Rhinolophus ferrumequinum: one gene and its partner. The protein of the gene in region 1 interacts with the protein of each later gene in a pairwise test. Links are inferred from orthologs where the notes say so. Each region holds a gene or a part of one and is shown on either strand. Other genes may lie near its edges.

What was found.
Region 2: the proteins of NELFB (region 1) and NELFE interact in binary tests that used the Homo sapiens proteins (3 or more experiments, as listed by UniProt). The link is inferred for Rhinolophus ferrumequinum from reciprocal best matches to the Homo sapiens genes NELFB and NELFE.

The regions. Positions count from the first base shown.
Region 1 is NC_046295.1:83,349,237-83,357,404, reverse strand, and holds the start of NELFB (negative elongation factor B), read right to left. Parts: upstream 3,038-8,168; 5' UTR 2,872-3,037; coding exon 2,770-2,871; intron 2,428-2,769; coding exon 2,264-2,427; intron 2,043-2,263; coding exon 1,943-2,042; intron 1,578-1,942; coding exon 1,347-1,577; intron 1-1,346. Other genes in the region: protein STPG3, read right to left, coding at 5,697-5,830, 5,933-6,233, 6,341-6,429, 6,530-6,664, 6,759-6,910, 7,019-7,125. UniProt on the Homo sapiens protein: Essential component of the NELF complex, a complex that negatively regulates the elongation of transcription by RNA polymerase II.
Region 2 is NC_046286.1:2,408,625-2,416,789, forward strand, and holds the start of NELFE (negative elongation factor E), read right to left. Parts: upstream 3,188-8,165; 5' UTR 3,053-3,187; intron 2,621-3,052; 5' UTR 2,613-2,620; coding exon 2,538-2,612; intron 1,175-2,537; coding exon 1,105-1,174; intron 1,006-1,104; coding exon 860-1,005; intron 365-859; coding exon 290-364; intron 182-289; coding exon 144-181; intron 1-143. UniProt on the Homo sapiens protein: Essential component of the NELF complex, a complex that negatively regulates the elongation of transcription by RNA polymerase II.

The DNA.
Region 1 (8,168 bases):
ACCCAATAGGCCACTTTGAGAGCCCCTGCCGAGGACACACAGGCCTTGGGTACCCCGACGAAGAGGAGAGCTGGGGACGTGACCCAAGTCTCGGCACCCACGTACTGGGCACCTCTGTGCCAACAACAGCTAACATGTACCAGCCCTGACCATGACCCAGGCCTGCCTTGCACACAAACAAGAGGGCACAGCTCAGGGATACGGCTCACAGGTGGCCCAGCACACAACTATGGCTCAGCAGCTGGACCACAGCCGAGGACCACAGGGTGATGCGTTAACCTGCTGCCATCTTCTCCCCTGGCAGGAATTCAGACCACATGGCAGGAAGGACCTGGGCTCCCAACAGGACCTTGGCTTGGAGTGTGAGGAAGGGACAGGAGCCCACGGGCAGACCACAGCCTAAGGCCAGGCTCCCCAAGACGAGCTGGAAGACAAAGACAGCAGAGCAGAGACACACTGCTCAGGCCAGTATCGAAGCGGGGCTGTGACCAGCCGCCAGACATTCAGGAGAAAACGTGAGGCTAGATTCTACCTCACACCAAACACGCAAAACTCCAAATGAAAGCTGAACATGAAAGACGGCAAAAAACACAAAACACCACTCAGCCAGTATCTGGCCACTTGTCACCATCAGCCCTCCCCTGGATGCGCAGTTATTCTAAAACCAGGTCAGGTCCAGTGACCCCCACCTGACTGGGAAAGGCCAGTCGGCACAGTGGCCTCCAGGCCTCCCAACGACACCCCTACCCCACTTGCCTACTTGCTCTAGGCTCTGGCCATACCAGCCTCGTCACCCTGGACACCCCACCCACCCTGGCCTGCCCCTCCTTACACCCTGATCTGGCTCCCCTTCCTCACTCCCACCCCTGCCCCACCCAGCCGTGCCTTGCTTCCAATACGATCTCCAGTCTCCACAGCCCTTGTCCACACCTCAAGCTCAGTGACTGACACGTAACGTTCACTGCGTAGTGTCTGTCCCCATGAGACCTCAGTACCCCACACAAGCACCCTGAACTCCAGGGTCGCTGAAGGGTCCTGGCACCTATGGCAGGGAGCGGGCACTCAAGAAGTGTTTGTCCAAGCAATTAACGAGTCAAACGTAAAGACAGAAGAAACTTCCCAGAACTGAGAGAAAACATGCTGAGCTTCACTGAAAAGCTGGCCAAGTAGCAGAGCACCGAGGACGTGAAACCCAAAAGAACCACACCCGGGCACAGTGCGGCAAGCCCCTTACCAGCCACGGCACAAGCCTGCTGTTCCAGGAGCAGAGCCACCCACGTCAGGGTGGGGAAGGGGCTGGCCAGGTGGCCCCTCCGTCAGGCCACCTGCTCGCGGCCCGGCCTCACCTCGCCCTGGCGCCTGGCTTTGGGGGACGGGCTGAAGAAGTTGTGCAGCACGGACAGCTCTGTGCTGAAGAGCGCGCCCTCCTTCTCCAGGATGTACTGCTTCAGCAGCGGGGACACCTCGTCACCGAAGAGCGCCTGGTTGTCCTGCCAGATCTGCCGCTTCACCTCCACAGCGCAGGCCCGGTACAGCTCCTTGTCGGCCATGACCAGCTTCAGCTTCTTCTCGGGAACCTACACGACCCACAGGCCACCCATGAGCGGCGCCTATGCCCACGGTCTACCTCAAGATTGGCCAAAGACCACCTCGAACCCAACCCCAGATGAAAGGAGCACCTGTGGCTGGCCGCCAGGCCCTGGGAGGCACAGGCGGCCAAGCTAAACACACACAGCCCTGTCCAGAAGGGCCCACACCCCACCTCGCACGCCAAGCTTCGGTTTCCACGGGGCTCATCAGGGGAAGCCGACAGACAACGTGCCTCCGAGCTGCCCTTGCTTGGGCAGCCAGCTCAGGAAACCTCCCCAGATCCCACCCGACGCCTGGACCAAGCGAGAACCTGGGCACGAGTGCCCTGGGCGCACCAGGCCACCACTCTTACCTTGGGCAAGTGTTTCATGACACACATCACCACTGGCTGTAAGGACGGCATCTTCACCAGAGAAAAACTCTTCTCCAGAAGGTCTTCCAGTTTCTTGTACCTGAAAGACGCGCACGACTGAGGAAGCTGCACAGGACCCAGACAAAAGCAGCTGCCTGCCTGTCCCCAGACAGGAGATGGCTAAACAAACAAGTTGCCACAGGCAGGACACTTGGGGAAGAGGCGCCGTTTTCGGGTAGCGATGTGTGGCCAAGGGCACAGTGAGCACTAAGCCAGTGCCCAGCCTGAGAAAGGGGCTGCACGTATCACCTGCCCACCCACCTTTCCTCGGCCTTCCCCTCGGATGCAATGGCCGACACGCGCTCCAGCAGCTTGTCCCGCAGCTCGTCAAACACGGACTGGTGGAACTCCAGCCGGGGCGTCCCGTGCAGGTCCAGGAAGGGCAAAGCCGACTGCAGGGAAGGCAGCAGCACGCCATTCTCTGTCTGAGGAAGCAGAGGGTCAGCGTGGGGCCAATTTTGCTTACTTGGGGGTGGGGGGGCTAAAACAGAACCCTCAGCCGCAGCCATGTCTGGCCGGGCACTCCGGGTGCCCTGAACACATACGGAGGCAGCTGCAAGGCTGTTCCCAGCAGCGCTGGCTGTAACTGCAAAAACTGGAAGCCACCCAGATGTCCGTCAATGGGGCACGAAGTCAGGACACCCGGCTCCTCCATCCCGCGGAAGAGACGCCCCGTTTGGAGGGAGACAAACGTGCCCACTTTCCACGCGACCCCGCCCCCTGCCTGACTCACGCCCCAACGGCCCGGCCTCCGCACCCCGCCCCACCTGGAACTGCTCGATGGCCTTGAGCGGCTCCGTGCAGTTGGTGAGCGTCTCCTTCAGGTCCTCGCCGTTGGCCACGCCCAGATCCTGCAGCCCCGCGAACATGGCCGAGGCCCCGGCCCGGCTCGGCGCCCCATCCCCGCCGCGCTCCGCCGGCGCCGCCGCGGCCGCCGCAGGCCCGCCGGCAGTCCGCTCGCCCGGGCCGCGAGGGCCGCCTGCGCTCCTCTCCCCGGCTCCCTCCAGTTCGACCAGGGCCTGCAGGCAGCGAGGCTCCGCAGCGATCGCGGCCGCCCACTTCCGCCCCGCACGCCCGGGTCAGCCTGCCAACCCGGAAACACTGCCGCCGCGCAGTGGCTCCTGGGAGCTGCGCCGCGCCAGGCTGAGCGGCTGCGCAGGATAAAAGCGTCCAGATAGAGCGCGAACCACCAGCGCGGCTCCGCCCCCCAGGTCCCGCTCCATCCGCGGGCCACGCCCGGGGCCGGCTCTCCCTCCCTCCCTCCCGCCTGGCGGCTGTCTGGGCCCAGCCAGGTTTGCAGCCCACCCCCGTCTCTGGCCTTATCCTCTGTAGACACAGAAGAACCCACGCCGGGGCCGGTGGGGGCAGAGGGCGGGGTGTGTGGGGCCCCACCGGAAGGAGTACGGGGGAGGGGGCGGGCACAGAAGGGGGGGTGGCCGACTTGAAGAATTTGAGAACTGACATTTTAGCCGAGTATATTTGATTTTTATAATCGTGAAAAGTCCTGTTTCTGACCTCACAGCAGCCTTTTGACGTTGAAAAATGATCAAATTTATGACAGACCTTAAGCTAGAGGGTATCGGGAGTGCCTGTGGGAGGAGCTCTCGCACTGACGTCATCGGAGAGCTCTACGGGAAGAGCTCTAGGGTTACGTAAGAGCCCTGGCGTCCCAGCCCCGCTCCTTAACTTCCTCTTCTCTGTATAAAGTACTTCATCTTTGTCCTGTTCTGTGCGTGCAATGGCTCACCATGTCTGCGTCTGCCCGAATGCAGCCCTTTCTTTTTCCCCAAATAAATTATTTTTGGTGACAGAATACCTAGTCGATTTTGTTTTACAGTTGACAGAATATTTTTGCTTGAAAAAATGGAGCACTGCCGCGCTAGCAGCCCCCTGCACCCGGGCCCCACCAGGTGCACGATCCTCTCCCCCACGTGTGCTCCCAATGGCGGGCACCCAGCAGTGACCTGGGCTTGCAGTGGGAGTGGACAAGGGATGGCTGACCTCACGTCACCATGAGCATCGAACTCCCAGGCTATCCCAACTCGATAGGCCCTCAGGCTGAGACTGTGAATGTGAGGCCTAGCTTTCGTGGTGTCCCTTGTCCTTAGCGGTGCCAGCAGCTCACAGGGCCGATGGGCACTCCCTGCTCTGCACCCTCAGTGGGTTCCCTATTGCTAAGTGTGTAAGCCCTGCAACCCAGGAGCTGCAGCCTCTCCAACTCCTCCAGATCACCTTCCAGCCCACCAGCCCAGTGTCCCCAAGCGTAGCGCAGCAGATGTCACACCCTCTCCCTTTCCATGTGCCTCGGTTTCCAAGGTTTGCTCTACTAGAAATTCCTTTTCTGCTGCCCAGGAAACTCTTGCTCATCCCTGAAAGCCCATTACCCCACAGCCTCCTCCAGGAAGCCCTCTCAGCCCAACTGGAGGGAATGGCTCCATCCTTCCTGCTGGTCCCACTTCTGGCTTTGAGCCCAAGGGGTTGTTAGTGGTGCAGCTATGAGCAGGGCTCCTGGTCCCCCCACCGTGGGCCAAGCCCCTGAGGCCAGGGCTCCCACAGCTCTCTCCGTTGCCCACTGGCTGAGCTGGGCAGCCCAGGGCCCAATGATGACCATTTGTAATCCCGCTACTCTGATTCCCAGGGGAGCTTCGGCTCAACTCCCAGCTGGTTCAGCCCTAGAGGTCATAGGTGAGTGCGCTCAGACTGCCTGGTCCTTGTCCTCTCTGCAGAAGGTTGATGCCACCACTGTGGGAGCAGTTGTTGCAGTGCCTTTTTGAAGGGGCTGAGCTCTAGCAGAGGAAACAGGAAGGGGTCTGGCCCAGAGCTTGGATGGGGGAGGATGGGAGCCACAGGAAGGACCCCTGAAAGAATTGGTGCCATGACAGGAACCACCAGCAGCTGCAGGGAGGCAGTCTTGAGGCCCACTCCTGGGTAGGAGAGCAGGCTGATAGCCCAGTGGCCAGGCCACAGGACAGGGCCATAACCAGGGAAGGCCCAGGGCCAGTTCGCAGGGTCTTTGGGCAGGGGCTGGGGAAAATGGGGTCAGGCCTTGATAAGCTAGTCCTCTGGGCCCTCCCAGGAGGCTGGGCAGGCCGACTTCTCCTCAAGATGGCAGTTCAGGGAATCTGGCCCCCCCTTCACCCCAAAGTCAGTTCCTCTGCTCGGCAAGCAGCCTGACCCTCGGGTAGACTGGTAGCTGGCCCGGTCCCCTGGGTGGCATGGCTAGGTGGCTGTGTCCTGCACTGCCCAGAGGGACCCCTCCCATACTGTCCCAAGCCAGGAAGTCCCAGGCTGCCACTCCACCCATCTTAGAGAAGAGAGCTCCTAAGAGGAAGCAAAGGGAGACCCCTGGTCAGGGAAAGTCAGACATGACAGACCAGCGGCAGGCCACAGCTGCAGGACAGCTCACGGGGTGAGAAATGGCAGACAGGCCCACGATGGCAGACAGAGTTTGGAAGAACCAACATCGCCTCTAATAGCAGGGGGATGGCGGGGAGGGGGGGTGGTGGCTGTGAGCTGGCCTCTCCTCAAGCACAGCTCACAGAAGGGTCAGCCAGGCAGGAGGGTGGCTCAGCGGTGTGCAAAGGGTCAGAAGGCCAGACTGGGGTCTCTGAGTTCCAGAGGGAGACCTGGGAAGGCCCCCAGGGAGGCAGGGCTCCATGTGATAACCGGCGGGGCAGGATGTGTTCAGCAGGCTCTAAAGCGTGCAGAAGGGGCCCGTGTCATGGCGCTTGGGTCTGCGTTCGCCCTGGATGACCACTCCGGGTATTGAGGGGAAGCGCGAGTTATAGCAATCCTCCACGTAGTAGGTGGCTGGGCCGGGGTTACGGGCTGCAGAGGGAGAAAGAGGGAGTCGCACGCATGCCACAGCACCAGCTGCTGCCCAGCTCCCACCTGCCCCGCCCACGCCTCCATTCTCCCAGTCCTCCTTACAGGAGCTGACCCAGGACGCGAACGCGGGCGAGCGGCTCATGGAGAAGGCGGGGGGGCGCGGGGTCTGCAGACAGCTCCCGGGAAGGATGTCGTAGGTGTTGGGGCTAGGGCGCTTCTCGCCGCCCGGGACCTGCGGTGGGACCTGAAGCGGGGGCTGGGCACAGTGACCAGCACCCCAGACCTGCGGCCTCCGGGGTCGCGAGCGCGCCTCCACTGCCTTGGAGGCGGGGCGGCGGCCCCCGAAGCTGAAAGCTGGGAAGGCAGGTCCGCTGAGTGGGTAGTAGTCGGCGGGCGATGGCCACTGTGAGAGAGGACGCAGCTGCAGGCCCCGCTCCGTCCCTCGAGACCCCGCCCACCCCGTCCCTCACAGGCCCCACCCCCGCAGGACCTCCTGGGAGAGGGCCCCACCTTTCGCTCCCTGTTAAAGTCGGTTTTCCGTGTGAAGGGGCTTTCGCTCTGGAACCACACGGTCTGCCACGCCCTGCGGCCACCGCCCTCTGCAGTGAAGGCAGCGTCGTTGGGGACGGAAGGCTGGGGGAGCGGCCCCACTCCTAGGACTTGGGCCGCGGTGGGGGGCGCGCAGGGAGGGGCACGCACCGCGGGCGGGGTGCTTGCGGCTGATGCTGAAGTTGGGGTGCGCGGAGGATTCTCGCACGGAAGCATCCGGCACCTGGTACTTGGTGGGGCCCGGGATGTCCAGGTCGGTCACGACAGGGGGGCGTCGCTCTAGCCCTGGCAGGAAGCAAGCTCTGGGCCTGGGTCCTCCCAGGAGGCCCCTCCCGACCCTGCCCTGCCTCCCCAGACCAGACTGGGGACCCCCACTCACACAGCTCCTTTGGGTTCCGGGCGCAGATGGGCGGGGGTTCCTGGAGGTGGCCCACTTGCTCCCTAAGGCCTGCCGGGAACTCCTGCGTTGCTGGGGGCTGCATCTTGTCCCAGGTGGCCTTTGGCCCTGACAACAGCACAGCAGCCATGGGCCTGCAAGGGAGACGGACAGCCAGCATCCACCCAGCCACTCTGCCTCTGCATCGGAGCTGCCCGCCCCCAGACCCCCCACCCTACTGGCCCACCGCCCTTGGAAGTTACTGGGTGGGCACAGAGGACTTCGGCCTCAGGGGGCCATGGCTCCAGTGTTTGCCTCCATTGATGTAAAAATTTGCCAGGAATTTCACAGCCTTCTGGTCAAAATTCATTGTCAGGGTCTCTGGCTGCCTTCCAGGGAGCTCTGTGACCTCACTGGCCCGTCATGCTCCCACCCCCACCCCACCCCACCCCTGTTGCTGGGATACTGGAGGGAGGAGCGCCGTCCTGCCCTGGAGGAGCCCCTCCCCCAACCTGCCAGGTGGGTCACTCTGGGTCACCTCGGCCAGGAGGACCCCTAGTTGCCTGCCTGACTTCTGGCTTAGCCTCCTTTCCCCCTTCCACATCCTTGCCCCAATCCTGAACCTCCCCTCGACTTTGGGGGTCCATTCCAAGAAGAGCTTCAGGGAAGACTGACACCTGGCAGAGAATGGAAAAGGGAGCGGGTGCTATGGGAGGCCCAGCTGGTAGGAAGCATGGTGCAGTGGACCGTCCAGGGAGGCTCTCTGGAGGGGCAGGAACCCCACTAGAAATTCAGCCCTCGGAAAAGCAAAGCAACGATGGATAGGTCTGAGTGGACCCTGCTGACCTGAGCGGAAGGCCTGGCCCCACAGCCACTTGGTGGCCCAGGCAAGGCTGCGGTGTGGGAGCCAGTCCTCTGTTTGGGGTCACAGAGGCCAGAAGGTGTCACAGATGGATGGGGCTGCCCAGGCCCAAGTGCAAAAGAACTATGAGCCCAAGTGAGCTTGAGTCCCTCTGGGCACCAGGGCTCTCGCCGTGCCCTCTGGAGTTGATCCCAGCCCCAGCCCTGGCCTTGGCCTAATCCACCTAGCAGGGCCTGGTCAAGAATGTGGCCTCAGCCTCTGGGCCCTCCCCACCCTGATCGAGTGTCTTCCTGTCGGAATCCCCCCCATTTAGCAAGGACCCTGCCTGGCCTTGGGAGGTACTCCAGATGGACAAACTGAAGAGCCCTGCTTGAGAAAGCACAGGTTTTATTAGGGTAAGGGGCAGCCTGTGCTCTGGAGCCTTCCATGTTGTAGTGTTCTCTGGGGGCCAAATTGACAGTGGCTATAATTTTCTTAACAGAACTACATCATCAGCCTTTATTTGATTAAGGGTCAACTCTTTGTCCATGTTTATTGACTCTGGCTTTTTT
Region 2 (8,165 bases), on another chromosome or scaffold:
CCCAGACCCTGAGGAGACTGACCCCCGCCTCCCTGTGCAGCCCCAGCTCCTGCCACTCCAGCCCCAGACCGCCCCAGGATCCAGGCAATCACCCCCCACACCAACCACCTAGTGGGACCCAGTCCTATCTCCAACCTGCTAACCTCTCATACAGAGATTTCCTTTGAGGACGTCTGGACGACTGAAAAAGAGACCCAGTTTCAGTTCAGCTGATTCCTGGTTGCTGGCATGTAGGTCGCTCCTCTTCCCCAATCCCAGGCCCTCAGGGACAAAGAACGGGGCCCATTACCTCTTGCAGATCATCGTCAGCAGATATGCTTCTCTGGAACGGCTGGAAAGTGGGGACTGGCCCCTTCGCAGGATCCTGGGAAGGTGGTAGAGACCTGCCTCAGTGTGGGGCAGGAGGCTGCCTGACCGCGGGTCAGAGGGCGTTCCTTTTCCCTCACCCTCTCCTCAGCTTCCTCTGTTCTACCGTTTTGTCTTTTTTTCTTTTAATTCCTTTGCACTTCTCTTATCTGACTGTGTGGGATTTTTAAATAAGTGACCCTAATAAACCCTTCAAGTATTTAGTTTACCTAAACACTTCTTGAACCTGACGCCATTTCAGCCTGTTCAGCTCCTTAGAGCACAATCTAAGAGCTCGCACACGCACAACAGAGCCGCAGAATGTGTAAAATGGAGAATTTAGGAGTCACCCATTTTCTTCATTTTTCAGATAAGCAACCTGAAGCTCAGAATGGTAGCGCATTTTGCCCGTGATTGACAGGTATCACTTTTTCCCTAAACCACCTCCATTGCTCTTGGAGGGATGCCTTCCGAAGTCAGGGGTCCCCTGAACTATCTTTCTGCTTGTGCTTACCTTTAACTTCCCCTCTAGGGTTCGAGAGCGTTTGAAGCCCGAGTTCTTGGTCTCGGCCTTGATGGCACTGATGGCTCCTGACTTCACCAGCTGCTTTGCCTGCTCTGTTGCCGTGGCTGTGTCCACCACAGGCTGCTCTGACAGTGCTGCAGTGGTGAGGGAAAGAGGCATGACGTCAGCCAGGCTGCGAGAGGTCAGCCCCGTGCTCCCTACTCGCAGCCTATCCCCGTTTCCCTGTCACTCACAGCGTTTGACACCACCCTGGCTGGCTGTGCTGCTGCTGCTTTGCTTCTTCAGAGCCAGCAATGCCTTTTTCTGGGAATGAGAAGAGAGGAGTTGGTGAGGGCCAGTCTCTGACCAGGTCCTCTCCTAAGGCCCCTGGGTGCGTCACTCCAGGGGACACCTTTCTCAGAGAAAACAGTGCAAATGGTGCCCCTGGAGTAGTTCACTAAAGCAGCCCTGCCTCTTACACACGGGCCCGGTTCACGCACAGCGCCACCGATACTTAAGGTATCCAAACCATGGTATCCCAGAGCATCACATTTTTGAAGTAGAAAACAAGAAAGTCAATGATGGACGAGAGCCCCAGGTTATGAGCTGCAAGTAAATAAACGCCTACATGCTTTCTGGAGTGCATCCATCCATACCCTGTTTGTTTAATAAGAACTTGCCATTCATTACTTTGTATGGGGAGGAGACGCACTTCCTCCCCAAGTTTACAATCTGAGAAACAAAGTGGCTAGACTGAATTATCAAGAATGATTATAAGACGTGCAGACTGCTTGCAGCTGAGAGTAAGATTTTCTGAAGCCAAATGGTTATTAAACTGGACCCTAGGTAGCATCTGCATAATAGAAACTGAAGAAAAAAGGCATTTTAGACAAAGAAAACTGTGGCAAAAATACAGAGATAAGAAGCTTTGGGGATGCATGTCTTGGGACTAGTGAATAGTTCTAGTTTACTAAAAAGGGATGCCACAAGTTAAGGTTTTGTTCTACAGACAATGTGAAACCACTTAAGGGTTTTGAGAAAAAGAGGGACAAAGTCTTATGTTTTCAATGGATTGTTTTAATAGGAGTGAAGAAGTCTGTTAAAAATAAACAAACACTAAAAACTTGTCGAGAGACCATTACAACGGTCTAGATGAGTGTCAGCAAAGACCTAGATCTATGGAATACATAATACAGGAAAAAATAAATAGAAGTTACTTCCAAGGAAGAATTCAGAAGACTTGGCAAACGTTTGGCGAAGCAAACAGCGAATCAGAGATGAGATTTTGATTCTAAACACATGGGAGAACTGAATGTGATCACGCCTTATTTGGAAGAGCAAGAAAAGGAACTAGATTAGTATAAACAGGAAGATAATAGCTTTAATTTTGGATATCTGAAGGTTATCAGTAAGACATCAGATGGAACTGGAAAAACACCAAACGTGGAATCACCAGCTTTTAGGTGGTACTAAAAGCCACAGGAAAGGAAGACAACTCCATGGCAGAGTGAATAGAAAAGAGAGAAGGTACACAGACTTGGGAAAAGCCCACCTCTGAGGCTACACTGAGAGGTGCCAGTGTGCCGGTGTGAGCCAGAAGAACCCTCCATCCCTCACACTCACCCCAGGTGGTCTCAGAGGGTAGAGTCTGTGAAAGGTTGGGCGATGCCCACACACACTCCCTCACCTTTTTCTTCAGTTTGTTGAATTTCTTCTGCAGAGCCTCCTCCTCCTCGCTCAGTCCGGGGGGTATCACCAACATGGTGGCTCCTGGTTCAGGGGCAGGGCCCAAGGCATCTTTCTCCACTGTCACCGCCCGGGGTTCACACGCCGTCCACTCCCCCGACCCCCCCCTTCAGGCCTGCCTACTCCTGTGTGTTGGCTCTCCCTACCCCCTGCTTAAGCCAGGATGCCGTCCGAGCCCCCTCGTCGGGGTCAACCAGCATTCCGTCCTCGCTAGGAATCACAGACACCAGCGCCTTGGGGCCCCCCGTGGCCCGAGGAGAAATACCCCCTCTGTCGCCAAGACGATGGCACAAGACCCCCCCTCTCCCCACTGGAGTTGTTCGTATGGCAACCGGGGGTTCAGAACCGCAGAGGAGGCACTGGAACCCGCGCAGCGCTCTCAGAGCAACGAAAAGGGGAAAAAGAGAGAAAGAGCTCGGAAGAAAGGGGCGAAGGGTGAGAAGGAGAAAGCCTTACCTGAGGGGGCGGCAACCGGGACCCGCGCTCTCGGGCAGCGCCCGCGCGGGCAGCGGATCGCCGGCTCAGAGCGATGACGTATCGAGGGGCGGAGAACGCGGTAACCAAGGCGGCCCGAGGCGCAGTCACTTCCGCCCGACCTTCCACCAATTCAGGGCAGCCCCTCCGTAGCACTCGTGCACACCCCCAGCGGGGTGTGTACCGGAAGTCGCCTCCACTTCCGCCCGTTTCGGGGCGGAGCTTATCACACAGCTCCCCGCTGCGCTTTTGGGCTGCCTGGCCCCTACCGTGGCTCCTAGATGCTGGAGACAGAGCGACTCGGTGAGGGGGAGGGGGTGGAACGAAGAAATAGACAGAGATTGGCCTTGACCTCTGACCTCTGACCTTTCTCCTGTAGTACTACCTCCCCTAGAGCCCCTGGACCTGCCCCTTCGGGCTGTGGAGCTGGGATGCACTGGGCGCTGGGAGCTGCTGAATGTGCCTGGGGCTCCAGAGAGCACCGTGAGTGACTTTTGACCCTAACCTTTGACCCGCATTGAGCTTAAAACCTCTTCCTTACAGTAGGGTCTAGTATGACCAGCTCTTCTCTCCCTGGATACCTGTCCTCGGGGCCTGGACTGGTGCCGGACAGACTCCAGCCTAGTGGGCCTGCTGTGGGTCAGAGCCCATGTGAGGATCAGCCTGCAGCGCTGGGGTACCTTAGCTCTGAGAACTGCTCTTTCAAAGGTTGCAGTCCCTTTCTGTCTCCAAGCACTTGTCGGTGGCTGAGATGCTAGCCTTTGGAGATAAAGGCTCTTCATCTTTAGGTCTGGGATCTCTTTTCCTAAAGCTAGTGATTCTCGAATTTCAGTATGCCTCATGATTAGTGGGGGAGCTTTTTAAAAATACATATTCCTAGGTCCAGCCCCAGATTCTGAAGTACAAAATCTGTATTATTAACCAGCGCCTCAGGTAATTCAGCAGCAGGCCGTTTGTCCTGTAAAAAATGACAACCTTTGGAAAATCTTCCTTCACCTTAATTGTCCTAGTCTGTCTGAGACATCTACCATTTCTGATCTCAACACAAGTCCCATCACTTTCTCTCATCTTGTCCTTGTTCCAGCTTCCCCACGGCCTCCCCCCCTGTGCCCCGGATCTGCAGCAAGAAGCAGAGCAGTTGTTTCTGTCATCTCCAGCCTGGCTGCCTCTGCATGGTGTGGATCACCCAGCCCGGTGAGGGGTCTGGAGGGGACTGGACTAGTGAGATGGGTCTCTAAAAGAAGCTGAGACAGAGGAGAAAGAAGACCTGAAAATTACTTCCTTCTCATCAGAAAATGGCAGAGGAAGATGGATCCTTGGTCTCTCCTGGCTGTACTGGGGGCCCCAGTTCCCTCCGATCTACAAGCCCAGAGACACCCAACCACAGGCCAGATACTGGGCTACAAGGAGGTAAGTGATCAGGGGCCATGAGAAGCAGAGTTGGGAAAAGGCGGGTCAGAGGCAGGCTCAACCTCACTGAGGCTCTGATCTCTTGCCTCAGGTCCTGCTGGAGAATACAGACCTGACGGCCACGACCTCCTTGTCTCTTCGCCGGCCACCAGGGCCCGTTTCCCAGTCCCTATGGGGGAATCCAACACAGTACCCTTTCTGGCCAGGTGACTCTTGTGGAAATGAGATGGTTGGGGAGGGAGCCCTCAGTCTCCAAGGAAGGGTTCCCGTATCACCCCTCATGAATCTTTATTTGTCCAACCTCTCCCCAGGTGGAATGGACGAGCCCACCATAACAGATCTGAGCACTCGGGAAGAAGCTGAGGAGGAGATAGACTTTGAGAAAGGTGAGGTGGTGCCAGGATGGACCCTTGGGCGGCAGGGCTTCAAGTCTGGACCTTGCAGATGAGGGGACCAGGCCTATCACTGGGCTGCTTCATGCCTTTGAGCAAATTAGGAAAAGGCACCCTTTCCATAACAACCTTCTTTGTCATTTATTGGAAAGTGGTTACAACAAATGTTCCCAGTTACAACGTTTGTGCTGTGAATGACATCCTTTAGGTTTATGCAATGTACAATTTGTATAACGGTGTGCAGTGGCCCCATTCTCTCTCTGTCCCGGTCCTCCAGAGCTTCTTACCGTTCCACCTGGCTTCAAGAAAGGCGTGGACTTTGCACCAAAGGTGAGTTTTGAGGTGGGGGCATGGAGAAGTGGTGCCCTTATCTTACAGGACAGAGATGGACCTGACCAGGTCCCCTTTTTTTGCCTTTCTCCTCAGATCACTCAGCTCCAGCTCGTGGTTTGCTCAGCCTCAGCCGTCTGCTGGAACCCCTGGATTTGGGTGGGGGAAATGAGGATGGGAGGGAGGCAGTGGGACAGCCGGGAGGTACCAGAGGGGACACTGCTCCAGCCTCTCCCTGCAGTGCTCCCTTGGCCCGAACAAGCAGCTTGGAGGACCTAGTGTTGAAGGTTGGTGCTTCTGGGTGGTCGAGGCAGGAAAGAAGCAGCCTTGCCGCTGGGAGGGTGGACTGGCTTGGTTGGGTCTAAGGGGAAGATTGGAGCGTCTTTTGGGAGGAGTAGTAATGGAAAGTTTTCTGGCTATAACTTCATCATTCCTACCCCCGACTTTTTCAGGAAGCGACCACAGCTATATTGCCCACCGAGCTCCCCAAAGCCCTACCTCAGGAGCAGTGGGCTATTCCTGTGGATGTCACCTCCCCTGTTGGTGATTTCTATCGCCTCATCCCCCAGCCAGCCTTCCAGGTAGTGTGGCCCCGTCCTCACATGCTCCTCCACCTCCTCCCAGCCTCTCCCACCACAGGCCAGAAGCCTTCCCGCCCAGTCTTGGACCTCAGGCCCAGCCTTGCCTCACTCTGGCCTTCTCCCTACTGCCCTGCGTGCCCCATGAGCCAGAGGCAGGAAGGCCCCTCTCCGCTCTTCATTCTCCATGTATTTCTTTGTCCCACAGTGGGCATTTGAGCCCGATGTGTTCCAGAAACAGGCCATCCTGCACTTGGAACGGCACGACTCAGTCTTTGTGGCAGCTCACACGTCTGCGGGGAAGACAGTTGTGGCTGAATATGCCATTGCCCTCGCCCAGAAACACATGACACGGTACGGGTCCCCTCCCCTACCTTCCCCCTTCACCAGCCATTCCTGTTTCCCCTGCCTCTTTTCTAAATCTCATCTCTTCCCCATATCTTTTCTTCATCTTTTAGATGGGAGGTTTTGGGGAGAAACTAAGACGGGGGCCCAGAGAGAAATGAGAAGGTGCCGGGAGAGAGGTTAGAAGGCTGATCTACGTGCGTTTAGTTTAGGAAGAGGTTGAGAGTCAAAAGTTTTCTGGGATCACGTCATGCAGGAGAGTAAGGGCAGATTGGGTGAAGAAAGGGGGCCGCTGAGCCTGCAGTATGCTGCTGGGAGGGCTCAGGGTGGACAGGCGCTGCTGAGCACATGTCGTGTGGAGAGACGCGCTAACCTCACGCCCTCTTCCCAGCACCATCTACACTTCGCCCATCAAGGCTCTGAGTAACCAGAAGTTCCGAGACTTCCGAAACACATTTGGGGATGTGGGGCTGCTCACCGGGGACATACAGCTGCACCCGGAGGCCTCCTGCCTCATCATGACGACAGAGATCCTTCGGTGAGAGATGGGCATTCAGCACAGGTGGATGTGGGGCCAGGAAGCTGAGGCTGCTCTGGAGAGAGTGGCTGAGTTAAGAGTGGAGACGGGAGCTACTGGGGAGTCAGCCTTCGGTCTCTTCTCCCCAGCTCCATGCTGTACAGCGGCTCGGATGTCATCCGGGACCTGGAGTGGGTCATCTTTGATGAGGTTCACTACATCAACGACGCTGAGGTAAGCGCCGCGGGGCTCATGTGGGCCTGGTCCTTTCCTGTGGGACTGGTTCAGCAGCTCCCTATTCCCCCCTGAGCTGCCCGTGACTCGTTTTCCCTCCCTGTGCCCAGCGCGGGGTCGTGTGGGAGGAGGTGCTCATCATGCTCCCTGACCACGTCTCCATCATCCTTCTGAGTGCCACTGTCCCCAACGCCCTTGAATTTGCTGACTGGATTGGGTGAGGCGTGTGTCCTGGGGTGCTTGGGTGAAGGCCGCTGTAGTAGTGCTTGGTTGGGGTAGGGGGCCAAGACTGCCACAGCCTTGGGGGTGGGAGAAGAGGGTGGGGCTGGGGAACACGGCCCACTTGGGCCCAGACTACTTTGCATGTTTAGAGATACGATGACGGGGACAGCCTTCCAATCCGGCTTCCAGAAAAGGCTGGGTGAGGCCCGAGGGGGAAGGTGGTGGCGTGTGCGCTGCTCCTCCCACATCCCCCGCCCCCGCTGTCTCCCGCCCATCAGACGACTGAAGCGCCGTCAGATCTATGTGATCAGCACTGTCACTCGCCCCGTCCCCCTAGAGCATTATCTCTTCACGGGGAACAGCCCCAAGACGCAGGGTGAGCTCTTCCTGCTGCTGGACTCCCGAGGCACCTTCTACACAAAGGGGTAAGCCGGAGATGGGGAGTCAGGGCTGGCCTGGCTGGGTGTGACTGTGACGCCGCCCTCTGCATCCCCAGTACTATGCAGCTGTGGAGGCCAAGAAGGAGAGGATGAGCAAGCATGCACAGACCTTTGGGGCCAAGCAGCCCACGGCATCAGGGGGGGCCTGCACAGGTGCGAACCAGTAGGCTTTGTACCTGTCACCACCTGTTCCTTCCTGTTCTTTCTTCCCTGGTCCTCCGGGGGTTTGGACTTGAGCTTTGAGCTTGGGAGTTCTTTACCTGGCCCCACTTTGGGCCCCACAGTCTCCGACTCAGCCTCTGCCCCTTTGCGACCCCTCCCCAGGACCGCGGTGTGTACCTGTCCCTGCTGGCCTCCCTCCGCACCCGTGCACAGCTGCCCGTGGTGGTGTTCACCTTCTCCCGGGGCCGCTGTGATGAGCAGGCCTCAGGCCTCACCTCCCTTGATCTCACCACAAGTTCAGAGAAGAGTGAGATTCATCTCTTCCTGCAGCGCTGCCTCGCTCGCCTCCGAGGCTCTGACCGCCAGCTGCCCCAGGCATGGAGGGGGCACTTGGAGACGGGTGGGGACGGGGTGCTCCACGACCCTCCCCCAATCACGACCTCTGTCCCCGCAGGTGTTGCACAT